Linked DNA regions of Nothobranchius furzeri. The protein of the gene in region 4 interacts with the protein of the main gene of each other region in a pairwise test. Links are inferred from orthologs where the notes say so. Each region holds a gene or a part of one and is shown on either strand. Other genes may lie near its edges. The genes, in order: psmb5, lsm4, psmb8a, lsm1, clic1 and smx5.

Region 1 (5,203 bases), on a different chromosome or scaffold from region 4:
AGAAATAATTTCTTCTTCAGACATTCTCCTGCAATGCCCTGGTCCTGTAGAATGAGCCCTGGCATTTTTACTGTGGTTGCCTGTTTTTCCGTAAAATCACAGAAAAAGAGAGATGCTCGGGTCGAGCAGGCACGCTCAGACATAGCCCGTAGCATTTGCTATCAGTAGCTTTAGCAGCAGAGAGTGAGACAGTGCCACTTTGTCCCTGTTCCTAACGCCTAGTGACGAACCTAGCTACATTTCTGAGGACCCTTAGCTACTTTCTGTAGAACTTTCTTCTAGATATTTCCTGCAAATTAGCAACAAAATAGCCATTTTTGCTCTGAACCGTTCTTTGAACGTTGTTTCAGCTGTCATCAAGGATATAAATGTTACAGATACAAAGGACGTCACCAGTGCTTTAGCTCACCTAGTAAGACGTCGGACTCCCATGCAGAAGATCTGGGTTTGATTCTGGATGTGAACATAGTTTATTTAGAGTTTCTTTTTTACATTAATGGTATATTTTTTTACAGTAAGATGCCCAGATTTATTTGAGACTCGCCGAACGGCATTGAATTCACAGATAAAAAAGATGTGGGTTCAACTTTCATTTTGGAACAATTTTTCAAGCAAGGGAAGGGAATGATCTGAGCATGCAGGAGGACTGACCCATCATAAACCTTTGTCGGCTGTGCTGAAGAGAAAGGTACAGAACCAAATTATTTAATTAATTAGCTGCACGTTCTCCTGTCCTCTGGGCCAGTCAACCCCACACACACACACACACACGGGACTGTCTCAGCTGTTATTTTCGTTAAGGAGTGTGCACGTACAGCATGTGCGCCTCGTGCACGAGCCTACTATTGAAGCTGCTGTTACGCTTTTGGCCTGAGGGGGCAATCGTGAGCATAAAAATTCAAAAGACCATAAAGTCCCTTTAAGGGGAAATGTTATAATGAAAAACTAATTTTTTTTCTATAAGGAAATCTGTCTGATCATTTTGGATCACCATATAGACCAAATGTTCTTGTGGATTCCATCTGCTGCATTTACCTGGGCCTCTCTTGTCCCAGCCACACACCATGGTTCCCATGCTGAGTCCCATGCCCTTGTACTGGTACACCATGTTAGCAAGCAGCTTGGAGGCAGCCGCCACAGAGATGCGCTCCTTGTTGCGCAGCTCATAGATACGGCACTGGCGGGCCAGCAGGCGCTCCCAGAAGCTACAGTCAGCGGCTCCTCCCGCCATGGTACCCAGCAGGTACGGGTTGATCTCAATCACCTTCTTGACAGTCTGTGAGGCGATGTAGGAGCCTGCTGTGGCCCGAGAGTCCACTGCAACAATGACTCCATGCTGGAACTGAGAGAAGCAGAAGTTCATTAGAAAATTCAGTTACAGAAGAGAACAGTCCATCTAAGAGATGCTCTTGAAGCTCAGCTCAAACTTTAACACATTCCTCTAAAATCACACCAGTCAAAGTCAATTACTGTGGTGAAAATAAAATACGATTACGGAAATAACTAATATTGATTGACTGAAACGTTTATTTGAACATAAGACAAAATATTTTTTTTAAATCAATAAACATAGTAGAAAAGAAAAGATATACCAATAAAAAAGAAGTCTTTGTCCAAAGGGAATAAGAAGAAGCAAGCACCCCCTTGTCTCTCATTACTAATTTACTTTACAAGTTACCATCTATACCTATCTATATATATATCAATATATCAATATATCTATCTATATATATATCAATATATCAATATATCTATATATATATATCTATATATATATCTATATATATATATATATATATATATATATATATATATATATATATATATATATATATATATATATATATATATATATGCAGCTACCAATGAGAGCATTAACATTTTATGGTACTAGTGATAGTAATAATAATAACAATGACAACAATAGCATAAAAAACAGCAAAATAATAATGACAATATCATAGTTTCCATAACTTCAGAGAAGCTCATTTTCAAATCCATTAGTTATCATTTTTTTATACAGTGATTTAATTTTGTTTATATTTGGACACTGTTTGTGTATTTCCTGCAGCCCATTCCACAGTTTCACACCACATACTGATGCACAGAAACTCCTTTTAGTGGTTCTTACCCTAGGCATTTTAAACATTTTAGTCCTTCGTAAATGATATCCCTCATCGCTCTGGTTGAAGAGCTTTTGAATATTAGGTGGCAATACGTGCTTACTAGCTTAAAGTGCTTGTTGGTTTACACTGGTTCCTTTGTCAAATGTATTGTAGTTTTTCCCCCAACTAGATAAAAACTAATGCCTATGCCTAGTTAAGTTTAAAAGGATTATTAAACTGAACTTTGATGTTCTTTTATAGCCATAAAACTATAGATTTTGGGTGTAAGAAACCAGATTGTTTGAATGTTTACTGCAGCCTGATGATCACAAACATAAATCATCTCATTTATCAGTAAGACAGCAAGCCAGTGTGGGTTTAAGTTACCATACAGAATACATGTTTGTTAGTAAAGTCGCAAAGAAAATACAAACATTAGCAAACACCGATGCTCAGAAAAATCAAGCTGCCATGAGAAAGCAATTTGTAGCTAAGCTAGCAAGCTAACGCTCGTCACATCGTGTTATATAAAGTCTCGTTCACAGCGTAAAACGTAAACAATTAATCGGAAGTTGTTGTTTTTTTTGAATTGCATACACTTCCCGATACATTTGACACCACCTATTTTAAACCAATACGCGAACTTACTTTGAAGGCTAAGGTGGTTGTCCCGTGCAGGAACTCTATTTTCCTCTCCACGCCATCCTCGTCTCCGGTGAGTAGCGAGTTCTTAACAGAAAATTTTAAACTGTCCCCCGGGGCAGCTTCCAAATCTACACCGCTCTGACCGGGACCACAACCAACAGCGAAGGGCTGACGGTAATCAAATGAAAAATCCACACAATCGCTGCTCAATACACTAGCAAGAGCCATCTTTGTAAGAGCGTGATGAACAAGCAACTTCCGCTGCGCATGCGCAGTACGACCTGGATTGATCATCCATCTACAATTGAAACATGTCACAGCGCCCCCTGTGGTTGTGGGGGATTGAGAACGTAAATAATTGTCCTATGTACTTCAAGGTTTTCATGGATCTCTCTCTCACACACACACACACACGCGCGCGCGCACACGCACACGCACACACACACACACACAATGCTTTGCTTTATTTAGTAACTTTCTATTTTGACACCCTCTCCCTTTCCTTTTGTATCTTGGACCCGTCTCTCCATGTCTCTGTAATATTCTTCTTTCAAGTCCTCCCTCTTTCTTTGGATCCACCCTTGATCTGTAACAAGGAAAAGGTCTACATTGTTTCCTGAGTATGCGTCCCTGTGGGTGGCTCTGAACACTGCTTCTCTTGCCAAAGAAATGGCATCTTCTTTACTCAAACCCCAGCTCAGGTTTCCATCCAGAACTCCATAAGCGTAGGGAGAACCTGAACCCACAGAAAACACGTCTCCTTGCAGTCGGGCTCCATCACTACACACATAAATTAACTTTGGACCCCTGTTGGGGGATAGAGAGTCTGGCGCTGAACTAATAGCACCTGAAGAGTCTGTCATAAAAGATGTGTCCTCCAGATTTTTGCCAAAGTTGGTTCCAACTTCCTCCTTATCCCAGCCACACAGAGTGAGAGCCACACACACATCAGTGCCTTTAAAGGGATGGAGCATAAAAGACAAAAGCTTAGCTGAGCCACGTATTGAGAGGCGGCGGCCGTGTCGCAGTTGGTAGAGTCTGATTTCTCTAATCAGAATACGCTCCCACAGCATGCAGTCTGCACCGCTACCTGAGGAGGTGACCACCAAATGAGAGTGAATAGGGGTAATCTTATGAACAGCCGGACAAGCAACAAGCCCCCCAGCGCTGGCACGCGTGTCTGCTGCTGCAATCACTCCACCTTGGAAGATGAAACCCAAAGTTGTTGTTCCATGGCACAAAGGAAAAGGCCTGCGAGTGGGCACTGAAGGGCCATCCGTGGTTCTGTTGATGAAAGAGCTGGTGCAAGGAATAGATGGCATGAAGACATGTGGCAAAGTGTTCTCAGATGTCTTTGATCTTTTCCATTTGAGGTTGTAGCAGTCAGCCACCTGAGTAGATGAGGTTGAATCCTCCAGAGATGATAAAGGGGAGAACTGATGCACACGCCTTTCCTCAAAACCACAGATATCTTCTAAAGCCATGAGTTAGATGAAGATGTACGGTAAACACCCAACAAAGCTGTCAACTCCCAAAGCCTACTCTGCAGACAATACTGATGTGCTCTTCCCCTTTTATAGCTATGCAAAACTAACAGCTTTCAGTAAGGCCATCATGCACCAACACGACCGAAAGCTTTACGGTTGTTTTATATTTTATGCTGTGAATTGGATATGCTGAAGCCTCTTTCTGCAAACCTAAGACTCTTTAGTGCCAGAGAGTCATCTAAGACGTTTCACATCAGTCGCTTTTACTTTGTTTGCTTTTCGAGTTTCTGATACATGATCTTAATAAAACGAGGAAATAATTATTATATAATTTAAATGTAAATTACATTTTTAACCTTTTATTTTTAATACTTTCCTAATGTTGTTTGTTTATTCGTAAGGAGAAACATTGGAACAACAAACTGTTCTGTGTTTTTGTAAAATCTCTGCGCAAATAATTATCGCGGGATTTTACGAGATATGAAACTGACATTCTCCCACAGCCATCTTAGCTCTAAATGCCTTAAATGCAGCATTCATGCACGTTCTGGTGGATCCAAGATGGCGTCAGTTTCACCGAGATCCAGCAAGACGGTCCTGGAGTCCATTCAGTCGGTAAAAGTCATGGCGTCCGCCAGTTCGGGGAGCAGGGTCTCCTGCGGGAGAGATATGAACTGTGTACCGGAGGTAGCTGACACACTGGCTGCGGTCGCCAAGCTTGGGTGAGGAGCGTGTTTGGTCCGATTTGTTGTTTGAGTAACGACATTAGAAGAGTTTCGCTTGTTGCCATGTCTGAGTGACGCTTGCTAGTTAGCCGGCGAGTCTTGAGCACGTGCCCCATCACGATGCTTGGAACTGGTTATAAATATTTATAATCGTTGTTTGATCGATTATATGGAATAATTAACTAGTAATTGGAAGGATAACTGAGGAAATGTACAGTTTTGCTTGGTTATTTGATGTCTG
Region 2 (5,126 bases), on a different chromosome or scaffold from region 4:
ATATTCTAAATATCTGCTAAACTTCTAGTTTTTATCATCTGTAGCCACAACGGCTCAAAAATACAAAAAATTTAAAGGTCAAATGATCCAATTCTGTGATTAGTCCTTAAATTTAACTTTCTGCTGTATATTTTATTCAGATTAAGTTTGTGTTACTTCCCCTTTGGGCCTTCTGCCCTTTTACTGCTAATGAAAGCTGCTGGCTTTAAGGCCATGTCCAGTTTAAACACACCTGTTGTAAATAAATGACAATCAGAAGATTTAAAGGAAAACTGCAACTGCTCAAACAAACTTTTATTCTCGTAAATAAATTACCATGTCGTTTGTTACAAAAATTAAGCGAAACACAATCAACCCAAGGAAGTATGGACTCCTCCATGTTGGACTAGAGAATAAGAGAACGTTTTATTCTTTTTCAGAAAGCATAATCAGTGCATGCCGTCTTATAAAGGTTTAAACAGAAATATTCAGGAAGTGAGTCCTGTTGGCTGTCGCTCTACTGCTTCACCAGCTGTGGTTATAAAGAAAATCTTTCAGATAACAAAGCTGGAAGTAAACTACAGAAATGAGGAAAAAGCCAGTTAAAATATCTACTAAACTAAATTTGGGCCTCGACTTTTCTACACCAATAAAAAGGATTTAAAAAAATCAAACTAAAGTATTATCTGGCAACAATCGGTTGTTGTAAACATCACAACAGAGAGAAACAGCAGAGTTGATGTCATTGTTACTGAGGCAGACGTCCCTCAACAGGAAGTGTTTAAAACAAACGAAGCATCATTGTGTGTCAGTGCTGGTTTTTCATCCCCTGTGGTTTTCCTGCTTTCTTATCCTGCTGCTGCTGCTGTCCTCGACCAGGCCCAGACATCCCTCTCCCACGACCACCAAACACACCTACAGGAACAGCTGTGTTCAGTCCAACAAATCAATTCTACATGAGTTCAAAACCAACCTGATCAAACGGCATCCTTCACCTCGGCCGGGCCCTCCTCTTCCTTTGCCCTGTTGTTTATTCTGCTGAGAGCCGCCGCGACCTCGTCCTTTCGACACCACCTCCTCCCTCACCATGTCAATGATCTCATCTGGGATACGCAGATATTTGATGGTGCTTCCTCGGATGTAGCACTCAGGCATCCTCCAGAATTTATCTCCATCCTGTAAAAAGATGGTGAGAGTTTCTGTTTAAATTAAATTCCTCAATTAATAACACTTCTATTTTGCATTTATGTTAATTTACCTAAAGTCTAGCACAATAAACCCGACTGAGGGGATAATAGGCAAATGATCATGTTTAGTTGTGATCACCCATCTTTCTTTTGTTTACATGTACAAAAACACCACAAAGCTGCACAATTTAAAAATTATTACAGTCACTGATGGTCCAGTTAGCGCACTGTGTCTGTTCTTACAGTCACTATGAATCAATCATTGTATCTCAGCTGTTGTCTGAAGCTGTTCTGATAGTTTCAGTGCAGGATTCTGCAGACTTCTCAGTTCACATAGGCAGGCTGTCCTTCACAACACAGTTGTGCAAATATACTGTACATACAAATGTCTCATGAGAGACCAAATATGAAAGCACATTAAGCAAATTAAAATATTTTGGTATTTTCCCTTTGTCAAAAGGTCACATTTTATTAAAGGGAGAAGCATGTTTCACCCTGGATGTGCAGATGACTTCTCTCAGGTTGATGTTCATCCAGTTGTCACAGCTGACCAGGTGACCGTTGTAGGTCTCTCCATTCTTCAGCTCCACCAGCTAATAAAGAGCACACTGCTTTATAAGCTAAAAATCATACAATGAGCAAGTTCTAATAACAGATCAGACAAACTAAACTAAAGTCAAGAACAAAAAATTAGCTCTAATCATTAGCTAATTAGAGTGTGACTCTTTGAGGCTAGAATATGAACCTTTTCACAATATTCTAGTTGTCTGATATTTTGAATGTGGGGTTTTGATAAGCTGTAAGGCAAAATCATAACAAATATAACAGATAAAGGCCGAAACATCTGGCTTTGCATGTAATGAGTCCATCTCATACATTAGTTTCACTTTTTAGTTCAATCACTGAAATAAACGACCTTTTGCACCATACTGTATTTTTTTTAAGTTTCACTTGTAATTTACTAAAGCAGGTTATTATTTACATAGAGAACAGATGCTTCTTCACATAACTAATGACACAGCCTAAAGGATACAATATTGTAAAGAATATCAGACTTAAAATCAAGGTTTTGCCTCACCATGGGATGATTCTGAGCGGTCTTTAAGAGTGACAGGGGAAGCTGAAAATAAAACACCAGATTGAAATCTAATTTAACAGAATAGACCTCATTTACAGCATTATTTCTGACGCATAATAAACCGCATGAAACCAAGAATCCAGAGTCTACTGGAGAGCAACCACCCGATCAGAGGCTCTTCACCACCAACATCAACAGTTTTACCTTCAGACAGGAGGCACACACTTTCCCACAGCCACCAGACTTCTGAACAGCTGAGCTCCTGACGCTTAATTTCTACTTGGTACATTAACATTTCAGTCTGATTATTAACCTGTTTACTTTGTACCTTTATCTGATACTGGGATTATAATCCGCCTTTAACTAACTGATACACGTTCCAGCTAATGTGGGACATTACTTGCACAAATGTGTGCAACAACTCTGCATAGTTTCTTTGCAGTTCATATTTTGATTAATTTACTGTATTTTGCATGCTTCTTTAACTTTTTAAAATCTAGTTTTTACACCCAAACGTATACATTTGGCATCCAGTGTGAGGAACAAGGTAATTTTTGCTGTTCTTATGAGAATATAGAGTAATTCACCCCGAACCCATAAAACTACAGAATTAAATCAGGTCATTTAAACACGTTTATAACACAACAACACTTCTGAAGTTGTGGTAGGTCTACTGGCTCCTGAATAAAGCTAAATGTTACGGTTTATTTTAGCTACATGCTTAGCATCTTAAAGCTTTCACTTCGGTATAATTTATTAAAAATGTTAACACGGTTTCCGTCAGCCGAACCAAAGATGACCTATTAAAGAATACATTCTCAACTACCCACAACTAGAGGTTAGATACTCACCATTATGACGGTTTATAGCTTGTTTTACGCGGCGAACCTAAGGCTGTGGCGAATGGTCGAATCCAGCTTTCTTCTTCTTCTGGCGGTCGAATCCAGCCTGGGGAAAGGATTTCCTTTTAGCCTTCTGCGTTTTCTTATTCTACTACAAACGGCGGCTTCACCACAGCACACTGCCCCCTAGCGTCGAAACCTGCACTTTCTCTCCGCGCGTTTTATTTTGTGGCCACACTGAGACCACTGTTTAAACTTAAAAGTGTCTGAATAGATCATTTTCTTAATTATGAGAACAAACAAGAGTCTTCCGAAGGAGTAGTTTGAAACCAGCAGAAAATATAAACAGTGCTAAAGTTTCATTGGTAAGTCACTTTGATCAGAAAAGCTTTTTTACAGTAATTTATAACACATAATTATGAACACACTCCATATTTTAATCAGTTAGAACGTGATGAGAATAAATGAGCTCAATAAGTAAAAAATTTTTTGTTGATACTTCATAATTTATTTATTGGTGAAGATATTATGTGATGCTGTTAATTGTATAGGCCTGACCGCAGTAAAAGGCTGCAGCAGTCTTACTAAAGCCATAGCTTTCATAAAAATTATATCAAATTATTTGTCTTCAAGAGTGAATTTTGCATAAAAAGACAAACATCTTCAAATGGGAGGACATGGCCATTGCAAAGTGGTAAATTTTGAAATTGCCCCATTATACTAAATGTTAAGAGTAATAAACCATTAGAGGTGTCAGTTAAAGATTAAATGCACCATAACGTCTATAACTAACAATGCACATTCTTGGCAGGTTGTCCTGCACAGATCCTTGGTGCTATATTTTGTTAATGTTGTAAAGTTTATAATCTGAGTTATTTGTGCACTTGTAAAGAATGAGTCGTTTCCATCTTACTTATGAACCATAAAATGTGAGATTCCATAGAAATATGAAATATCAATCTGATGGATCTTTGACTACATTTTTTTTTCAAAAAGTATATTTTATTAAATTTTCTGTGTACACCTTTTACACAGTATTATGTTGTATATTGAAAGTACATTCTGTATAAAATCATCAGGGAACAACAGAACAGTAGAACAATATAACAATTTTGGTTGTGCTTCGGCTTTTGGCGATCCTCTCCAACGTAAGAGCATATATAGTACTGAAGGCAATATGCACATAGACATGTTTAACAAAACTGTGAGCAAGAAGTCCCCGAATTACACCTCGCTTTTGCTTCTCCCATTCCAGTCTTAATGCTGGTCAGAAGACCGAGTATTTTCCTATACTCTCCCACTTTATAAGTCCTCAGATTTTTATGTCCATCTTCTTAATATATGTTAGAAAAGGTGTCCATATTTTGTCAAATAAGTGTTGCTTGGCTTTTAAGATATAAGTAATCCATTCCAGCGGCATTACCTGTAACATCTGTTTCATCCAGTTCTTCACATTGGGTCTATGGAGAGATTTCCATGCCATAGCTATATACTTTGTTGCTACTGTAGAGGGTCTGCCCTCATGAGAAATTGCTACTCAGTATTTTCTCCAAAAGACTGTGTCATTTGCTCTGAAAAGCTGGAATATGTTCCAGCGCCAGCATGCCCTCATGAGAAAATTGCTATGCAGCATTTTCTCCAAAAACTGTCATCTGCGCTCTGAAAAAGCAGATAATATTAAACATCAGCGCCAGCTACAACTTCATTTCCCATGATTCCTTGAGCCGGAAGCAATGTGATGACGTCACCGCCGAATACCGGAAACAAGTTCTGCGCATGTGCGGGAGCCACACAGTTTCTCCCGCCGGACCGCCAGAGTCTACAAAAGGGAGACGAAATGAAACTTAACTCGTCTTTTGTTCCAGCTTCAGCTGGTGGTTGAAGACACCCGTTTGCTACGGCTCCGGACAGATTGTGCATGAGGCCAGGCGGCTGAAGTGGACAACGCCGAGACGCGGAAAAGCAGCGGAAAACCATCAAATCAACGGAGAAACCATCTGACCTGCAGCGCGAACACAAAAGGGACGCCTTGGGGGTTCG
Region 3 (4,445 bases), on a different chromosome or scaffold from region 4:
AATATTTTGTGTCTCTAAAGATCTTTGAATTTGGTCATTTCAAAGCAGCATTTTAGTTGATTAACTCTGCTCACCTCACATGGACTCACACTGGCTAAACAAAGAAAGAAAGTAAAAAAATAAACAGATTAGTAATTATATTTTAATGACTAGAACTGACTGATTTTAATGACTATATTTTAAATGCTATATTACTATAGTATACTGATTTTATATATTATATAAGTAGTTGATGGTTCAGCTGATTACAAATACAAATCATAATTGCTTATCATAATGCATCCATAGTCTCCTTGCATACAACACAATTTAAAGTGGATGGTAAATAAAATGAATAAATAAATAAATAAATAAATAAATTAATTAATTAAACAAAAGACTACACAAAATAAATCAGAAAGAAAGGCAAACAAGAATAAATTCAAACCACAATACATCCATTTACATCAACTTCCAAACTCTGTTACAAACCATTTCAATAAATGTATCCAACCTGGAAAAAAAAACTTTCCCAATAACAACATTGGCCTGTAGCTAGAAAAGCTATCTCTACTCCCAAACAATGGAATCACTTCAGCAATTTTCATGCTGTCAAGGAAGACTCCCGTTGAAAGTGACAGATATATGTAAATGGACCAATTACAGACTATTTTATAGTCATCATGTCCAAATCCTCATAATCTGTTGATTGTTTTCTTCCACAATTTTGTACAAATGTTCTAATTTATTCTTTTTCTACTTTGTCAAGGAAAGTATTATTGACATTATTTACTATTGTCCTAAAGCTATCTTCCACAATTGATTTACCCAACAGATTTGCACCAACACTTACAAAAATAAGTCATTAAATTCATTAGTGATTTCTTTAATATCATAAATGTCTTTATTCACCATGGCAAAGCAATCTGTGCCTCCTGATTTTGTTTCTTCTATGTTAGTCATGTTAATTATTCCCTATGTAGCTCTTGTGGCACCTTTGTTCTTACGTAGTAGGTCACTATAAAAACACATTTTTGTTCTGTAATTATGGTTCTTAATCTTTTATATATATATCTTCTCCGTCTTTTATTAGCAGTTTAAAGAAACTGAGTTAATATTTGTGTTTTCTGCAGGGTCCAGGTTTGTATTATGTGGATGATGACGGGACTCGTCTGTCTGGTCGGATGTTCTCCACCGGTTGTGGTAACGGCTACGCCTACGGCGTGGTGGACAGCGGCTACAGGGAGGACATGACCGTCGAGGAGGCGTACGAACTCGGCTGCCGCGGCATCGCTCACGCCACTCACAGAGACGCCTACTCTGGTGGAGTAGTAAACAGTGAGTAATCTTTAGTGATACTTGATTTTATATTACTTTATTTTAGCACAAGGTATTGCAAACAGATACCATTAACTGCACAGTCAGTTATTTTGTCCAAACTGGTTTCTTACTGGTTGCATCAATCAATAAAATTTCTTTGAGAATGAAAATATTTTTACTCCAAAGAAAAAATATAACTACTGGGAATTTTAGCGACTGACATCTAGGCGTTTTATGTTTTCAGGGAAGTTAATTTATGAGCTATTAACTCATTCACTGCCAGCCATTTCCTGATCAGAAAAGCCCTTTGCTGCCAGCGGTTTTCAGCGTTTTTTACAGTTTTTTTAAGGGTCACAGAACATTGCGCACTAGGATAATGTCAATGACAAAACTACCAAAACAAAGAGTAGACTCACCTCTTGCATCAGGAATAATCCGCACGCTTCGAGCATTATCCTTTCTTTCATAATCTGTTGCCGAATTGTGATCGGCAGAAGCTTTTCCGGTTCGCGCCTCACTTTTTTTTTTTACAGCAGTGGCCCAAAATGACCTCCTAATGCTTGGATTTTCTGCTTCCTGATCTCATGATGTGTGACATACGTGAATGAAAATCGGCTTTCGAGTTGGGATGTGTGCTCTTACAGTGCGGGGGCTCATTCTGACGCCCACACTGTAAAAAAAATGCAAATGACGACTTTAGTCGTCATTGGCAATGAACGATTGGATTTAAAATGACGACTTTTGTCGTCATGGGCAGTAAATGAGTTAAGTCATCTTCTCAGATGAAGTAATTATGAAGCTGTTACTCTCACACTGCTGGTTGGACCCAAGCTGCAGGTGTGGAACCAGGAGGCAGGCAGGTGCACTCAAAAGTCCACCCATCCATTTCAGCCGCTCATCCGGAGTCAGGTCGCAGGGACAGAGAGGGCCGGCTACTTGGTTCAGTTCCTCCGGGGGAATCCCAAGGTGTTCCCTGGCCAGCTGAGAAACTTCCAGCATGTCCTGGGTCTTCCTTCCCAATCAAAAGTATTTTAATAAAAGTCAAAAAAGGAACAAGAGGGAGCTAAAGCAGGAAACAGTAGGAGTGAAACAGGGTGTATCAGAAGGATCGGTGAACCAGAGCCACTTTGATCCTGAGGGAAATAATTATTGGGACAGGTGAGTTGATGGGAAACAGGTGTGAACACTTTAACTGGGTGCTGAATGACTGTGGGTCGGAATCTGTGTGGCTTCCACACACCCCTAAGATCATTGAGTCCAATCAGAGCATTCACACCAGCTGCGGTGTGGACCTGTGAAATCTTTCTACATGGTCTCTATTTTTTCCAGACGCTGCACGACGCTGATTGTCATGAAGTCAAAGAAAGTACACGAGTCAGACAGGAAGTGAGACGTGTGGCAGCGAGACGCATCCCGTTTATTTCACAATAAAACCTGTTGCATCATTCTGTCGGCTTCTTCTGTTATTATTACATTTATACCAGTTCACTGTGTATGATTGTTCAAGAGGACGAGTGTGGCTGCTGTGTACCAGTTCCTCTCTACACAAGTAGTTGCTGTCGTGAACTCACGAGCAACTTTCCAGAGATGCTCCAAACTGGATCTGCAGTCGGGGGAAATGGCGATCCATCCAGAAGCCGTACGGATTCCAGTCTGCATTCGTTCCACTCTGGGTGTAAATAAAGCTTGATAGTTACATCAAGCAGCTGATTGATGTGATTCCCATCAGCTATGAGATGGTTATAGTTCATGTGCATGTTAGCAAAAATGTACACATTTGGGGGGGGGGGGGGGGATGTACAGGAGAAGAGTGGTAGCTGTAGTTTGAAAACATTTTTTGAACGTGAAATTATTTTTTTGTCTTCCTGCTGATGTACATGCATGTGTTTTTTCTGTGTGTGTAGTGTACCACATGAAGGAGGACGGCTGGATTAAAGTGTGTAAAGAGGACGTCTCAGAGCTGATCCACCGCTACAGAGAGGGAATGTTCTGAGATCAACATTTTGTTTTCCACCGATGTTTAACTGGAATGGCACGTGTGGACGACCCTAACCGTTTCTCACAAGCTAACTGGTTCAGAAAGGATTTTGCGTTAGCTAAATAAATAAATAAATGACCAAAAAAAATACACGTCTCCCAATAAAGACTGTTGCTAAATTAGTGTTTTGGTCGTTTTCATTTAAAAAGTGTTACAAGCCCTTAGATGGAAGTTAGTTGTGGTGGAGGGGTAACATTTTTTTCTCATTTACAGATTATAATTTTACTACATCTGAACTAATTACACACGTTACTTGTGAATTGTGCTGTTTAAATTAAAATGAACATTTCCTCACTCGTATTACTGCCAACATTTGTGATTTTCATGATAGTAAAATTTACATTTTGGTAAATTTTCACACTTTAAATTCACTTTGGACAAAAGTATTTGCTAAATAATCACAAAAATGTCTGAAGGCTCGATCGCAATTTGCTCTGAGTTTGTTGCTGTGAAGTTTCACTCAGAAACTGAACTATTCTGAAGGTTTATATTCAGGATACAAAAGCAAACAAATCAAATCATGGTGCCTATTCAAATCAAATCTAAAACTCTACAGAAAAAGTAGAGAAATCACTTTCTTATAAATGTTTTAGGCGATCCATATTCTTTTGTTGAAAAGAACAAGCAAAAATACACGGATACTACTTGGCAGTATTTAGTGTCAGTTGTGTATTTAAGTCGAGTTATGAACACACACAAAAATCTGGATTTTAGGGATTTTATTTAGGAGCAAAAAAATAAAATTACACACAAACTAATTCATCTTGTTGATATTCATTGTCTGAGAAAAATCAAGAAGTCAAATACAGCATAACTGTTTAACCTCTTATTGTCCTATAATAAAGAAAAAAGCCACGCATCCCATATTTTCTAAATAATAAATTCTAATCCACAAAAAATCCTTAACCAAAACCTAAGATTATAAATCAGATTAAATAAACCCATGAAAACAAACAAGATCATATAAAAGAAGCATAAAATAAGTCATTCACAACAAAATGCAGTTAAAATAAATTGTTTTCAGATTTTATGAAATTAACTAAATATTCAATGTAACCCCATCTGTTTTACTGCTCTTTCAGAATAATGTAGGTTTAATTTATTATTA
Region 4 (4,953 bases):
AGAACCCCGGTATTGCACCCCACACTTTCCTATTCTTATTTTATTACTTTTACTAAATTACACCACTAAATGTTTTAACAAAAGTATGTGACCACACTTTGTGGGCGTCACACTTGTCCATGTAAGGCCCTATAGACCAGAACCAGGATCTTGAAATGAACCCTGAAGTTGACTGGCTGCCAGTGAAGCTGGAGGAGAAGCGGGGTGATGTGGGTGTATTTGGAGGACTTTCTCAGAAGCCGAGCACAGGCATTCTGAATCACCTGTAGACGGTTCAGGGAGGTTCTGCTCAGACACGTGAAAAGAGAGTTACAGTAGTCAATGCGTGAGGAGATGAAGGTGTGGAGAACTGTCTCAAGTTCAGACGGAGACAGAATGGGACTCAGCTTAGCAATGTTCCTGAGATGGAAGAAGGAAGAGCGAACAAGAGAACTGACATGAGAATCCAGGGTGAGAGCTGGGTCAAAGGTCACGCCAAGATTCCTGACAGAAGGTTTGGTGTGGGAAGCAAGCTGACCAAGAGAGTCTCTGACTTTGGGAACCAGCTTGTCTGGGGCGCAGATGAGGATCTCAGTCTTATCTTCATTCAGTTGAAGAAAGCTCCCAGCCATCCAGGTTTTGATAGAGTCTAAGCAGGTGTGTAACAGCTGCAGCTTAGACATCTCATGGGGCTCAAAGGAGATGTACAGTTGGATGTCATCTGCATAAAGATGGTATGGAGATTCCTTTGAAGGAGCTCAGGATGTGCTGAAGAGGAAGCAGATAGAGGAGGAAGAGTATACAAAATTTGCTTTTACAATTTCCCATCACCTATACATCAAAATTAAAGTGAATTTTACAGAACAATCAAGAGTGAGGTAAGTATACTTATAAATTTATTAACTTATTATAAAACGCAAGGGAAAAGAAAGAAGAAAATACATTTTACAGTTTAAATGTATCAACTACGTCTTTTGTTTTTACAGCCTTTTTATTATTTGAAGAGATTGAATCCAAATAATAATAATAATAATATTACCATTATATTATTATTATTATTATTATTATTATTATTATTATTATTATTATTATTATTATTATTATTATTTAGGGAGTATAATGCATGGTATGTGCACGCATGCACCGTCTGTAACACTCCACGCCAGAAGGTGGCGGTAGTCAAACATTTGCCAACAGCCAAAAACCACCAAAAAAGAAGAACGGGTTAAACGTTTACAGGAAGTTCACCGTGAGCATGTATAAAGACACTTCCTGTGGTCTTGTTCAATAAACATTTTAAAACATTCATGGCTTGACGGAACACAGGGATATTAAAACGGAGAAAACCTAAAGACCAATATGAATTACGTACCGGGGACTGCAAGCCTTATTGACGACATTGACAGTAAGACAGAAGCTGAATTTTGTAGTTGTTGACATGGTTTAGTAGAAAATGTTTGAGTCTCGATATTTACGTACACAAGCGAGTAAAACGCATATCTAACGTTCATGTTTTGTTTTCCTCCTGCAGAAAAGCACCTGGTGCTGCTCCGAGATGGCAGGACGCTGATTGGTTACCTCAGAAGCATCGACCAGTTTGGTACTCTTATTTTTAAAAGTCCACTTTGTTTTCTAACTCCGCGTCAATACAGATGGAAGCATTTCTAATTAATCGGTCAGCTGATGATCTCCGCACCTTATATTTCATTTCAACTGATTTTCTGCTTCTGTTCTTCAGCCAATCTGGTGTTTCACCAGACCGTAGAGAGGATCCACGTGGGGAAAAAGTTTGGTGACATCCCCAGAGGCATCTTCATCGTCAGAGGAGAAAATGTAGTTCTGCTTGGAGAGATAGTAAGCTCATTTTTTAAAATCTGAGATATTTTTATTTAGATCTTTTATACTTCATTTATTATGTCCCTATCCCAAAATGGGGTCAGCAAATGGAAATGAATTAAGAAGACATTCTTTATTTCTGCATAAACATTCTTCCTTAATTTTTACTTTGAGTTATACCTCACACAGAGTGCACGTGATGACGTATGAGAAGTTAAAGGTGGTGTTTGGAACAGCCACAGCTTGGAGAAAAATGTTGTTTTCGACGGAGTAACACACGCTTATGGCTAGTCCGAGTGGGGTCACAAAGTGTTTTTGCCAAATTAACCAAACCCAAAATATTTTATAGTATTCCATGCAACTTCTATTTTGTTAAATGCACGGCACCTCTTGGAGCATTTCTGTGGGAAATTAACAGAAATGAACTGCATCTCCAGCTATTGTAACATTTTTTTGGCTGGAATTTTATTATGATTCTGCTGGAATAAACACACATTTAAGGGAATGTTCACTTTTTAATATGCTGAGAAATTTTGAAGATGAGAATTTGTGACTTTTTTTTTTCACTTTAATGCTCAATCATAACTAATCAGTTTCTCCGAACCAAAGCAATTCTATGAGCTACAGTCAATAAGTTGGATATCAGCGGTCTACAACTTTTCCACATCCGTCCCACTTAAAAAGATGAGAACTGGCCCTTTAAGGTCTGTTTTAGTAGTATTAAATAAGCTACCTGCTTATATTATGTCTTATATTATTCAGGGCACATTTTTCTGTTTAACTGGGAAAAATTCAGATTTTTTTCCAAGTAATTTTCTGCCAAGCAGCTAATGAGTAGTTGGCGTCTTACCTGCGGTGGACAGTCGGGATCGTATTTAGATCTCATGATGAAGTCCAGCGCTTACTCAGCAGAATTATCCTCATCACACACTTTAAACTAGATTATAGAGTTTTACATTGCTGCACAGCAGCAGACTGCTGAGCTGGCTTTGGTTAGCTGAAGTGATTCACACAGACACCGTTCCTACCCAGAGTAAATGGACAGATGCAACAGTGCTCTCCACCACCCTGCATGGACAAGCAGGTACTGATAACGGATGGATGGGTGCAACAGTGCTGTAGTGTGGAGAAAATAAAGAACTGCAATAAGCATTTCCTCCTCAGACGCTATGGAAACCTTGTAGGGAGATCTGTGCTTAAATGGGTCTTTTTCTGAATAGTTTGACTTGATCTCAGAAATGAAGCTTTGCAAATTTCTTCTAGAGCCAAATTTAATAAACGGGAGAATATATTTATTTTTAAAGTCACATGCTGTTTTGATTACAGTGCTTGGTAAACTTTGACAAAAAAGGACAATGCACTATTTGACATCTGTATTTTACTCTTACTTTACTTGAACTTTTCCCCAGTATTGTAATTTGATTAAAATCTGCGCTCCTTGGCAGGCTGATGTAATGGGTGAAGACTTAAAGATAAATGGCTCATATGCATATTTTTAGGTAATGCAGAGAAACTATTATCACTACTTAATGATACAGGTGCTGTTTTAAGGATTTAAAGCTCAGTAATGTTTAGTTGAGGGGGGGTGGGTGGTAATCTCGGTATGAGCGGACTTATGGGAAAGCTATCTTGGGGTTTTACCTCCAGTGAACAGATTTTGATTTTGTTTTAAACGAAATATTCATTGCAGAGGGGCCAATTAAAAATATAACCGTTTATGTAGCGTCTATGATTGAATTTTACTACTTTATCCATTATTTTCACAGCTGATTTCTATATTTATCTTTTTGTGAGTAATTTTTTTTTTACTCTCCTGGTGTAATTTAGGGTTATGAAGTTTAACTTGTGAGAGAGATTCTTGAGCTGATCTTTGCAGTGACCCATTCCAGGGGCTGAGGACCTTCTAGGCCAGCACACAGAACAAGCGTGACTCATGATCTCCAACTTATCTCGCTCTACAAATGTACATCATGCAAATCTGCACTGACACCAGTACAGCCTGTACTGGTGGAGCGTCTACAGCACACAGTGACACTTCTTGTTACCAACATGTATGTAAGGATGGGCATCTTAATTTTGCTTTGCAAGATGTTCTCATCGCTTTGAGCTTCATGGAAGAATTAAGTTATGTCCTGTTACTCACTTATCACTCATTACTAATTTATTTTCAATTTAAATAGCTGAAAATAAGCTGTTAGGCAGTGATTCCCTCTATATGACAGGTTTGCTGCTCTTCACTTAAACAACTAGCCATCACAACTCAGACTAGTACAAGAGTGGAAGTTTGAACCATGTGAGGGATGCAAGCCTGCCAGAACATTTAGTATCACTTAGCCACAATTTGGCTTTGAGTTTGCTGTTTGACCTTGGATGTGTCTGCATCCCTGCAGGATGTGGATAAACCCTGTGACACGGTCTTGCAGCAGGTCTCCATCGAGGAGATCCTGGAGGAGCAGCGACAGCAGCAGCAAACCAAGCAGGAGACGGAGAAGGTCAAAATGCAGGTGCTAAAGGACCGAGGCCTTTCCATTCCCAAAGCGGATAACATGGACGAGTACTGATGTCGCCATTTTTCACGAGCGTCTTTCTCAGTTTGTATCAGACTGCTACATTTACGTTGGAAATTAGTGTTTTTGTCTTTTAATTCCCAGTTGGCTAAAGACGGCATCATTTAATTTTCATTTAGTATTGAATATTTTGTTTTAAAAGGAAAAGATGATCTGCTGTTTTATTTTTTGGTAATTCATGTCAGCGCATTAAATGGTATTGGATCATGATCATTATGTTGGTAATCCTTTCACAGAAACACTTTGTGATTATATTATTTTGCTATGATGTCTTCTGTTGTGGAGATTTGTGAGTCTGCTTTTGACAAACATTACTTTCCACCAATAAAGATTTTAGTTTGTATTTATGGAGCATATGCTTGTGGAAAGAAATAAAAATCCCTGAAACCCCCTGCAAGAACCCAACCCCACCAGCATTACCGTCAGATTCAGCATGGCTGTTCTCTTGTTCCATGTACTCACTAGAGGCAGATTTCATTTGGATAATTGAGTTGAAGCATATCAGTGCATCGGACAGCTTCCTGTTGTAGAGAGGACGGGTTGGAGAAATCGATCCTATTAGGCTTCATCA
Region 5 (5,022 bases), on a different chromosome or scaffold from region 4:
TGGTACTATTTTAATTGTCTGGTACATGATAGTAATCTGTACAATATTGTGATGTTAGCACACAAGTTTAACCCTCCCACTGTCTTTTATGGGTGTCCCCGCAAGGAAAGTCGACCATTGAGCAGGACTGATGGTTTATCCCTTGAGGTCCATGTTTATGTTTATATTTATTTATTTGGCAGGCGCTTTTATCCAAAGCGACGTACAATTTATTTAACTTGTAGGGCATGTTGTGATCTGTACGGGAAACTGGAGTACCCGGAGGAAACCCACGCATGCATGGGGAGAACACGCAACTCCACGCAGAAAGGCCACAGACGAGTTTCGAACCTACAACCTTCTTGCTGCGAGGCAACAGTGCTAACAACTGCGCCACCATGCAGCCCACATGGCAGGGGTGATGTGGTGACCACTCCTCACCCCTGCCACATGGACTTCAAGGGATAAACCATCAACCCTGCCCAATGGTCAACTTTCCTCGCGGGGTCACACCCATTAGGACAGTGGGAGGGTTAAGCTAGCATCATTAACTCACAAGACACCTGCTGCTCCCCTGCTGCTTCTCCTCACATCGCAGCACAATCTCTCTGCTTTGGCCGATCGTTTCTCCGTCTGGTTTGTCTCTGCTCTCTGGGGTGTGCAGCAAACTCATAACTTTATGGTTTTGGCCCGTCATAAAAATAATTATAATTTAAAGTTTCCTCTGTGCCAGCATTAGAATCCATATTTTTCTCCGGATTAAGCTAACAGGACTCCCTCACCTGACGTCACTTGGTTTAGCAAAACAATAAAATATAAAAAAAACAAAAACAAATAAATTCCTCACAAAAATTACTCTAAAAGCCAAAATAATTTATGTATGTGTAAAAAAAAAGTTATTAAAAACGAGTTTCTATTATGTTTCTCTGAACATTGGTTCATGGAAGTCTAAGTTTTTGTTCTTTAAGCCAACAGCAGGGAACGATTTAGAAACACCTGCATGTGTCTGTTTCTTTAATGAACACAAATAAATCATAACTAGTGTATGAAAGCATCCAATTCTGCATAATCCAACCAATAAGTTCATACTTTTGGGGCGACGGTGGCACAGGAGTTAAGTGTTCGCCACGTAATCGAAAGGTTGCAGGTTAGAGCCCCGCTCAGTCTATTGCTGCACCTTGCCTGCTGGTGATGGTCGCCAGTGTACGGTAGACTCGCCTCTGTCAGCGTGCCCCAGGGCAGCTGTGGCTACAATGTAGCTCATCACCATCAGGGTGTGAATGTGTGTGTGTGTGAATGGCTGAATGACTGATTGTGTTGTAAAGCACCTTGGGGGGTTCCAGGACTCTAGAAGGCGCTATATCAAATACAGGCCATTTTCTTTTGCAGTCAAACAGGCAAATGATTGACAGGGACAAAATGTGGAAGTTTCAACTAATTTTTCATGTCATTTTGTATTTTGTCTTTTGTAGGGATGTGAATCTTAGAGCAACTCACGATTTGATTCGATTCTGATTCTCTGGGAGTCGATTCGATTCAGAATCGATTCTCGATTTAAATCAATTCACAATCAGTGTTAAAGAGTGTCAGTTCTAGGATTAACTACTTTGTTGTACAAGTTAGTTAAAGCTATGGGACATTTTCATTTTACTTTAAACTGGTCATGCTCAAGAAATGCAAATTTACAAGGTAAACTAAAGTGATTCTAAAACTGTAAACAGAAGCAATCTTTTGACCAAAAGGCAACATTTATTTTTGCTTACCTTGTAAAATATAACAAATCTTTAGTTACCTAACAGTAGCTTTGAAAGTAATACAGTCAAATACTTTTCAAGTATGTGTGGAAACAAGTTTAACATTTCAGTTCTCAACCGGTTTAAAAAAATACCTCAGATTTCTTACAAAGGAAAATGTGTTCTCTCATTTATCAATAACTTAAAATAAATACATGAGTAATCCTGAGTACTCACTTATCAACTTGGAAAATAAATATGAGAGTATCTCAAATTAATGAGTATGGAAAAAATTACATTCAAGTGCCAGCTTATCAGCAGATTCAAAAATAAATCAGCTCAATTTATGGGACCACAAAAGTAAACGGAGTACTAACTCTCCTAACAAAGATAAAAAAACAGACAAACGTACATCTCAAACCTGTAACATGCCCAATATTTGAGTTCTTGGGATCGATTCTGAACCTTTGTGAATCGAATCTGAATCTTTATAAATAAGAATCCTGTTTCAGACTTGAATCGATTTTTTTCAGCACCTCTAGTCTTTTGTGTGCTCCAAAAAAACAAACTAAAAGGACTGAAAAAAATAAACCTGATAATTTAAAATTTTCACTGCTGCAAAGTCAGGAAGCTTCCGACCAGTCAGCATCTTTACAGTCAGCAACAGCAGCGAGCATAAAGGAGAGCTACAGAACTAAATCGAAACAGGAAATGCTTCAAACAGATTAATTTTCTTAAAATTCTTACATTCTTCCTGGTTTTCTTTTTTGTTTTTACACATCAATGATCATATAAATTGCACTGGGGTAAATGTTTTCCCAGTATGTTTGAACACTTGGGCTGAATTTTGAAACCTAAGATTCAGAGAAGTTACAACAGCATTTTTCATGCATGAACAGTTAAAAGAAGAGGGAAGCGCACGTGCTCATAGAAAGAAATAATTATGTGAAATTTGAAGCTTTATCCACTACGACACGTAGAAAAGGGGATTAAACTGCCTGACCAATAAACTAAATATAGAAAGTATCTTAATGTGCAGTTAATTAGATTACAGTGGTCTGTAAGCCCCGTGAGTCAGCAATGGTCATGAATCTAATACTGAAGACGACTATTCTCATTTAAATGTGACATTGAAGGTGAAATAATGTGGTCAGAAAGCAGATGGAGCAGATGGAGACATGTCGCCGCCCCCGCGTCACTTTTCTGGTTGTGAAGGTTCCCTATCTGTCGCTAGCTTACCTTCACAAAAAGTTCCAGTTTGGGTTGGTTTGGGTTGCTCATCTTCACCAAGAACCCTTCACGGAGGAAAAGAGTGGAGAAAACACAAAAGTAGTGAGAAAGCAGAAGTTTATTTAGAGGTCGTGGCAGTACTAGAAAGGAAACGGTGGCGAGAGAGCAGAGCACATCTTCCGCTACAAATCCAAAACAAACGAAACACTAACGGCTGCGGATTCACCGGAAACGCTCCACAAAGCAACTCGCAGCAAGCTGAAAGTCATAAAAAAAGCTTAAAAACCACAAATAAAGCTTTTTTAAAACTTATAAACTCACTGTGCTGAACGTTTTCTCTTTGCGGTGCTGATTTCTCCTCCTCCCGTGCAGGTGTTGTGCCAAAGTCGTTACCCCCGTCAAAATTGTTTCCCCCGGTTTACACCACTTACACTTTGTTTTTGTTGAAGTTGCTATCACGAAATAGTTTATTTGCAAAATAAGTCACAGTATAACTAATAACTACAGAAACTTTGGAGAACATTAAACGTTAAATTAAGAAGTCTAAAAAAAGAAAATGTTCTCCAAAGTTTCTGTAGTTATTAGTTATACTGTGACTTATTTTGCAAATAAAGTTTTTCGTGATTGCCACGCCAATGTGCATTATTGATGGGGGGGCACACATTTTGGCAGCCGAGGCCACACAGCCTGATAAAATCTGTATCCCTCCATAACGTTTGCTGTGAAGAAAAAAATCATACTGTACTTATACTGTGACTTATTTTGCAAATAAACTATTTCGTGATAGCAACGCCAACAAAAACAAAGTGTAAACCGAGTGTAAATTCACCGGAGAGCGACGTGTTTCCATGATCACGTCTGGTTTTACAGTATTGTATTGCTCCCGTGAATGGGGGAAACAATTTTTGACGGGGGTAACTACTTTGGCACAACACCGGGAACGTGAGTCTGAATCATCGACATATAAATATCTGAATACACAATTATTTCCGGGTGGCGCGTGACAAATTTTATTTGATGAAACGACCGAAAGATTTTATGCACGTCACACGCACGCGCATATCTTTTATATTCAAGACTTATATTTTTTAGAGTTATAATCAAGTTTTCAAAGCTTTTAAATTATAATTAGAGGCACATTCAAATTCAATTCAAATTCAAAATACTTTATTAATCCCAGAGGGAAATTGATTGCTGTAGTAGCTCAGAATAATAATAATGTAGCGGTTTTAGGCACGGGCAGACAGGGCAGTTGCCCAGGGCGGCATTTTTTCATGACACAAAAGGGGCGTACAAGCGCTGAGTAAAAAAAAAAAAAATAAAAAAGAAAGAAATCTTAGCCTCACTGAGGTTTTCTATTATCTGTCATATCACAGTCTGGATTGGAAACAGCAAGTTGGCGCCCCCTACAGCTGCAGGCGCTCCTGCTGACTGAGAACGTTCACGTGCACTGTGTGTGTATGAAGAAGAGGAAGGGGAGGGGTGCGGCGGGGGAATTCACCTCTGGGTCTTTCCAAATGAAATGGGAGGGTAGGGGCTGAATCGACTGTATTAACATGGCTAAAGTCAATCACATCTTGATGTTCTTCCATTTAACGCACATTTCATTCATAATATCATAAACACAGGCCTATCATTCTTTCAGGTTTTTCTGAATTGTGTGAAATGGCCGAATAAAAAAATGAAAAACAAAACGATTTTGTGGTCACCCCCCCATCAAGGTCAAATTGTTTAGTCCTGACTAAAGGAAACTTATTGAGTCAAGAGCCAAACAGAAGAGATGAACATAAAAAGGCTAAAACCACCAGGTGCCCGATTCAGGAAAAGAAAAAAGAAAAAAGAGGAGAAAGATAAAGGTATGTACGCTCTCATGATGCATGTTTTCAATTTTTTGAACCAGTTAACTGGGATTTTAACGGTTAAATTTGGTCAACTAATGGCTAACAGAGCTAATAGGGCTGAAATACTGAAACGAATATTCAAATGTACGGAAGCGTTTTACTGTCAGTGCGGGAAAAAAACTCAGGACCAGTATCTCGTAATCATGAGAAATGTTCTCGTTAAAACGTGATTTATATCA
Region 6 (4,977 bases), on a different chromosome or scaffold from region 4:
CTTTTAAGCAATAAATCTTCTTTTATATATACTTATTTACACACTCTTTCCTTAGTACTATGAGAAACACACACAACCACCAAGCAAATGAAAAAAAAAGAGTTAATACCAAAAGGAAGACATTGCAGGTGACTTTTAATACTTTTTCTGGTGACGCTCCATAAGCCCGGATTTCCACCTGACGCAAAAGCTGTGCGTCATGAAATAGAGGTGTTTTACCGGCGAGCTCCCTTCCCACCGGGAGTGACTCTGCTGCGAAAAGGGAGCTAAAGTGTTCCACGCAGCTGGTCCTGCTATGTCACTAAACCACAGGAGAACAGCACATGTGATTTCAGAAGACCACACAATAACAGGCAAGGAGAAAGACAGCTGCAGGTATCCACAAGGTCTGTTCTGTTCCGTTTACATTGGCTACGGGGGTTTCAAAGGAAATGATGTACGTCTATCTGAACGTGACTTACTTAGAACGTTTTGGGATGTTTGACACCGCCTCTGTGTTCGGCTTCCTGTCCGGCCGGTTTGATGGTTTTGGAAGGGTAGCACATAAACAAATAGCGTAACGATGGCGTACACTTTTGCCACTTACACACTAGCCGCCGGTAGAAAGGAACCTATTCGCTATAACGGTGGCTAATTTCAGCGAGGTAAGTTTAGCGTCCATTTCATGACGCTTTCACGTTCGGTGGAAAGCTCATTCAGTCTAACCCTTGTGGTAAAGGTGAGTCCTCGGAACGTCCGAGTAAACGTATTAACTAAAAGCATCTTTGCTGCAGAGAGTGTTAATAAAACACAACCGTTTGTGGGCTACAAATCCACAGGTTTGTGAGTTAATCTAGACTATTTAAAAATCACTTTTCCTTGAGTTTTTATGACTTCAGGTAAAAATAAAACTAGTTTGTCAAGATTTGATACATTTTTAAGGAGATACCCATGAGCAAGCCAAGTTGTGAGTAAGTATGGTTGAAATAAATTTCTAGTTAAAAACCCATTTACTTTCAGTTGTAGGGCTGAGATTTTTTAAATGTGGATATAATTTCAAACAAGAAACCTGATGACTCAATATCTTTACATCAATATAAATATAAAAACAGTGAATTTCTAGCATTAGCAGGTGCAGCTATTGCTATCCACTAGCTTGTTCTGTCTCTATGCGATCATTACATGTATTCTCACGTGTCTGCTCGATCAGGAAACCTCTAGGTCAATTTTCTGCCCTAAACTTTGCATTTGGATTAGTGGTTTTTAATTATTTGGGGACATTTGTTCGTGTTTTAGTGAGCCTTTTCACTACGGATGTGTATTGGTGAAATTGTGGCGATACGATACGTATCACGATACAGGGAAGACGATACGATATATCACGATATATTGCGATACATTCAGCCAGACGATATCAGCGATTTTTTAGACTGAATTTATTGTAGAAAATTTCAATAAACAGTCCAAACTGATACTTAACATGTTAAACATGAGGTATCTGAACCATAATAGAGGGATTTATATTTCAGTGGTGGAAACAAAACCCAATGCACACTGCTGCTAGCTAGCGGTCAGTGTTTGAATTGCACCAAAAGAAAAGAAAATACACAAATGTTTGCATGTAAACTATTCCAAAAAGTTCAACACATGGCTTTTGGATATCAATATAATATTGCAGGAAAAAACATCACGATATATTGCCATATCGATATTGTCTTACATCGCTACTTTTCACCGTGGCTGCTGACGGAGATTTATTTATCCTGCTGGTGCTGAGAGACGGGTCAAACCAGCGGCATAAATATCTAAACCTACATGTGTGTTAGCATACAGCTGTACAAGTGTTTCTACAGCTCAAACTGATAGAGAATGGCACTTAGGTTGATGTTTGACAAGAATCTGATTAAATTGTGCATTTAATCTGCTGATGAATTTATGATTACACTTTCTGTAGACAGCTTGAAGGGAGTTAACTTGCAAATATTTACAGAAGAAAAAATATGGAGGTATAATATTGTAAAATTGGAATTCTGCAAAAGGACACTGACAAATAAGTTTTCATCCAGCCCTATTAAGTTGTATTTTTATTTTCTGAGGACTAGAGGTAAGGCTTTAGTACTCGACCTGAAAACAAAACAAAAATCTGTCGCATCTTTGGTTTAAGTGAATAATCACACCTTTTTACCAATTAGAGGGCTGAGTTTGTGTTTGTTAACCCTGCTGTGAATGTGGAAAACACTCGTAGTGAGATTAGCCTCAGATTTCTACAGACATCTGAAGCAACGTGACCTTAGGACCGATGTGTCTCAAGTATGCTACTTACCATGTGTGGATATTTCTCTGGATCCGTCACACTGATGTCTGTCAACTTTATGTTCAGGTACTAAAAACCAAAAAGAGTAGGAATGTAAATGTCAAAAAACTGCAGAAGTTTGTCTGAAAGAGTTTCAAAAAGTGTATTTTCAATACCTGGTCAACAGAATGAAGCGTTCCGCAGATGCTGAAAACAGATGTGTGGATAAATATTCAAGAAAACAAACATTTGGACACTTTTGAATAGGCTACATGGCTCGTTTAGCTCGGTTGCCTTAATTTCCGAGTCAGACTCGTGTAGAAACGTCGCAGTACTAATAAGCTACAAGTCCATTGGAATATACAAAGAAATAGCTCAAGCTTTAGCAGAAGTTCATTCAAAGCTTCGCGTTTAGAGACCACTTGTTTCCAACGTGGTGCTACAGTGGGTCGAATTGCTAGCGTTCTTTCCTGCAAATGAACAACAGCTTCAACGATTTATCACAGCAGTGGAGGCCAAGCCGTAAAACACTAACCTCAGATCGTTCTTGAGCTCCACCACTACGTCCTTCCCAACCAGAGACTTGAAAAACGAGTAGAAAAGCTGCGGAGCACAACGACATGCTAACGTTAGCGTGTAGCTGCACGCTACACGTCGAGCACGACAGTTTATGAACAAAGAGAGAATGGAAACACTAACAGTTACACAAAGACTAAGGTAACGACTTATTTAACTGTCATGTGTTTGGTGTCATGCTAAATACATTTTGAATATTGAACGAGGTTAGCTCACCATTTTTGCGGTAGCTTTGTTCAGTAGTCGCGTCCGCTTTTGATGACGTATCAGGGAGCGCTGCAAATACAGACAACTACCACCAGGGGGAGCCAGAGGTCTTCAACATATTCAGCTTGAATCGTATCCATTTCTTTGACATGTTTTGCTCATAATTAATCAACATTGTGTTTTTTTACACACTTAAGTGTGATTACAGCATCTAATTTGCCTCTGAAAAATTAAATCTGCCTTAATATCACTTTGCGTAACAAACCCTAATAGTCCACGTCCCTACACACACACACACACACACACACACACACACAGAGAGAGAGAGAGAGAGAGAGAGAGAGATATGTTAAAATAAAGAAAATCTCACTCTGAGACTTTTAAAGAAGTCGGCAGCCCTGGTAAATAGGATAAACCTATGTGTGCCTTACCTACGTATGAAATATATGTAAATGGCCCTATTTTGCCCAGCTGTGTGCAGCAGGTATGTTTTTCTTCTAGAATAATGAAAACTGGTGAAAAATAGGTCTAAATCCTAATCAGCGTTGATTTAAATTGTGATTAGATGACACACATTTAAACAGATGATGACAGATGTGCTCAAACTTGTAAACAGCCTTAACCCATTAAAGCAAGGACATAAGATAGTCTAATAATTAGGTGATAAGATAAACCCAGCAGAGAAAAGAAGTCAGTCTAACAGTGGGATAAAATGCAACAAGATTTATGACAAGCTCACATTTGGCGTTTGTCTGCTTCTTTTATTAAAATAAATAAATGAATAAAAAACGGAAACTGGTATGGTGCAAAACAGGACAGAATGGTTGGTATAGAGATGAGTTCCCTTGTTTTATCTATTTGTTTCTACTTCAATGTTTTACCCCCTTTGCACTATTTTAATTGCTTTTATTTTCTATTTATTCATTGTGATTTATGTTTCTTATGTACTGTGTACAGCACCTTGGGCTCCCTGACAAGGTCGCGGAAGGCACTTTATAAACAAAGCTTTGAGTTGAATTGAATTCACATTTTCTTCAAAAAACTCAAGGTCCGGCTGTAAACATAAAAACTCTGCAGCAAGGGAAGACGGTTTCCTCTTATATGAAAAAGCCAGTCGTAGGAGAATTGATCCCTGGTGGGTACCACATAATTCAGTCGGTGCCTTAAAAAGTACCACATCTGGAATCCATCCCTACTCCTTATACTGGTCACCCTGGTGTGGGAAGGCTTCCAGTCTCAAACCAGTCATCCATGCTGATTGCCTTGGTCCCTCAGGTTCAAGCAGGTATAGTCCCATCAGTGTCTCTGCTCTCCAGTCCCATCTGTCGGTGGTCTCTGATGAACTGGTTTTGGCCCAGACTGTGTGCAGAATCTCACCATGATCTTTCTAGAGGAGTTCACTGGTTCTCAAAATTTCTGCTAGCGCTTTGAAACCTATTTTTTATTTAAAATAAGGTCAAACCAGGGCTGAAAGTTTAACGATTAAATATGTTTTATTTGCATGTTTTGCCATTATGATAAGCAAACCTGGTTTCTATAGGCTGACACAAGTAAGGCTTGACCCATATTTGCCTTGTTTTTCAGGTTTTTAGGTGACCCCCCCCCCCCCCCCCCCCCGCCACACACACACACACACACACACACACACACACACACACACACACACACAAAGATGCTAACAGGCATGTTCACAGTATGGCACGGGGGCCATCTGTGGTACTCAGGGTGATTGTGTGCAGCCCCCTCTTGCATTTCTAGAAATGTATCTCTCCAAAAGCCTGTTGATGTTTATCGACACTTTTTATGTTTATTTTGTAATATCAGAAATGTGAGTAGTAAAATGAAAATAATAAAACCATAATAAAATAATATTAGCAATTTTTTATAATGAACAAAATCTCATTTATGAGGCCCGCAAGGAC

The links.
Region 1: the proteins of lsm1 (region 4) and psmb5 interact in binary tests that used the Homo sapiens proteins (3 or more experiments, as listed by UniProt). The link is inferred for Nothobranchius furzeri from reciprocal best matches to the Homo sapiens genes LSM1 and PSMB5.
Region 2: the proteins of lsm1 (region 4) and lsm4 interact in binary tests that used the Homo sapiens proteins (3 or more experiments, as listed by UniProt). The link is inferred for Nothobranchius furzeri from reciprocal best matches to the Homo sapiens genes LSM1 and LSM4.
Region 3: the proteins of lsm1 (region 4) and psmb8a interact in binary tests that used the Homo sapiens proteins (3 or more experiments, as listed by UniProt). The link is inferred for Nothobranchius furzeri from reciprocal best matches to the Homo sapiens genes LSM1 and PSMB8.
Region 5: the proteins of lsm1 (region 4) and clic1 interact in binary tests that used the Homo sapiens proteins (3 or more experiments, as listed by UniProt). The link is inferred for Nothobranchius furzeri from reciprocal best matches to the Homo sapiens genes LSM1 and CLIC1.
Region 6: the proteins of lsm1 (region 4) and smx5 interact in binary tests that used the Homo sapiens proteins (3 or more experiments, as listed by UniProt). The link is inferred for Nothobranchius furzeri from reciprocal best matches to the Homo sapiens genes LSM1 and LSM2.

What each region holds. Positions count from the first base shown.
Region 1 is NC_091751.1:63,252,444-63,257,646, forward strand, and holds the start of psmb5 (proteasome subunit beta type-5), read right to left. Parts: upstream 3,051-5,203; 5' UTR 3,045-3,050; coding exon 2,754-3,044; intron 1,343-2,753; coding exon 1,036-1,342; intron 1-1,035. Other genes in the region: psmb11a (proteasome subunit beta type-11a), read right to left, coding at 3,218-4,234; prmt5 (protein arginine N-methyltransferase 5), read left to right, coding at 4,799-4,959. UniProt on the Homo sapiens protein: Component of the 20S core proteasome complex involved in the proteolytic degradation of most intracellular proteins. This complex plays numerous essential roles within the cell by associating with different regulatory particles.
Region 2 is NC_091748.1:65,761,773-65,766,898, forward strand, and holds lsm4 (U6 snRNA-associated Sm-like protein LSm4), read right to left. Parts: upstream 3,236-5,126; 5' UTR 3,099-3,235; coding exon 3,096-3,098; intron 2,287-3,095; coding exon 2,245-2,286; intron 1,760-2,244; coding exon 1,661-1,759; intron 1,156-1,660; coding exon 975-1,155; intron 895-974; coding exon 788-894; 3' UTR 277-787; downstream 1-276. UniProt on the Homo sapiens protein: Plays a role in pre-mRNA splicing as component of the U4/U6-U5 tri-snRNP complex that is involved in spliceosome assembly, and as component of the precatalytic spliceosome (spliceosome B complex).
Region 3 is NC_091759.1:22,778,048-22,782,492, forward strand, and holds the end of psmb8a (proteasome subunit beta type-8), read left to right. Parts: intron 1-1,112; coding exon 1,113-1,317; intron 1,318-2,628; coding exon of another isoform or gene 2,629-2,645; exon of another isoform or gene 2,646-2,745; intron 2,746-3,203; coding exon 3,204-3,292; 3' UTR 3,293-3,459; downstream 3,460-4,445. UniProt on the Homo sapiens protein: The proteasome is a multicatalytic proteinase complex which is characterized by its ability to cleave peptides with Arg, Phe, Tyr, Leu, and Glu adjacent to the leaving group at neutral or slightly basic pH.
Region 4 is NC_091757.1:36,768,260-36,773,212, reverse strand, and holds lsm1 (U6 snRNA-associated Sm-like protein LSm1), read left to right. Parts: upstream 1-1,207; 5' UTR 1,208-1,338; coding exon 1,339-1,384; intron 1,385-1,510; coding exon 1,511-1,579; intron 1,580-1,717; coding exon 1,718-1,833; intron 1,834-4,205; coding exon 4,206-4,376; 3' UTR 4,377-4,725; downstream 4,726-4,953. UniProt on the Homo sapiens protein: Plays a role in the degradation of histone mRNAs, the only eukaryotic mRNAs that are not polyadenylated. Probably also part of an LSm subunits-containing complex involved in the general process of mRNA degradation.
Region 5 is NC_091759.1:8,284,270-8,289,291, forward strand, and holds the start of clic1 (chloride intracellular channel protein 1), read right to left. Parts: upstream 3,359-5,022; 5' UTR 3,264-3,358; intron 3,008-3,263; 5' UTR 2,994-3,007; coding exon 2,952-2,993; intron 1-2,951. UniProt on the Homo sapiens protein: In the soluble state, catalyzes glutaredoxin-like thiol disulfide exchange reactions with reduced glutathione as electron donor. Reduces selenite and dehydroascorbate and may act as an antioxidant during oxidative stress response.
Region 6 is NC_091756.1:60,994,939-60,999,915, reverse strand, and holds the start of smx5 (smx5), read right to left. Parts: upstream 3,145-4,977; 5' UTR 3,068-3,144; coding exon 3,065-3,067; intron 2,876-3,064; coding exon 2,808-2,875; intron 2,480-2,807; coding exon 2,449-2,479; intron 2,363-2,448; coding exon 2,303-2,362; intron 1-2,302. UniProt on the Homo sapiens protein: Plays a role in pre-mRNA splicing as component of the U4/U6-U5 tri-snRNP complex that is involved in spliceosome assembly, and as component of the precatalytic spliceosome (spliceosome B complex).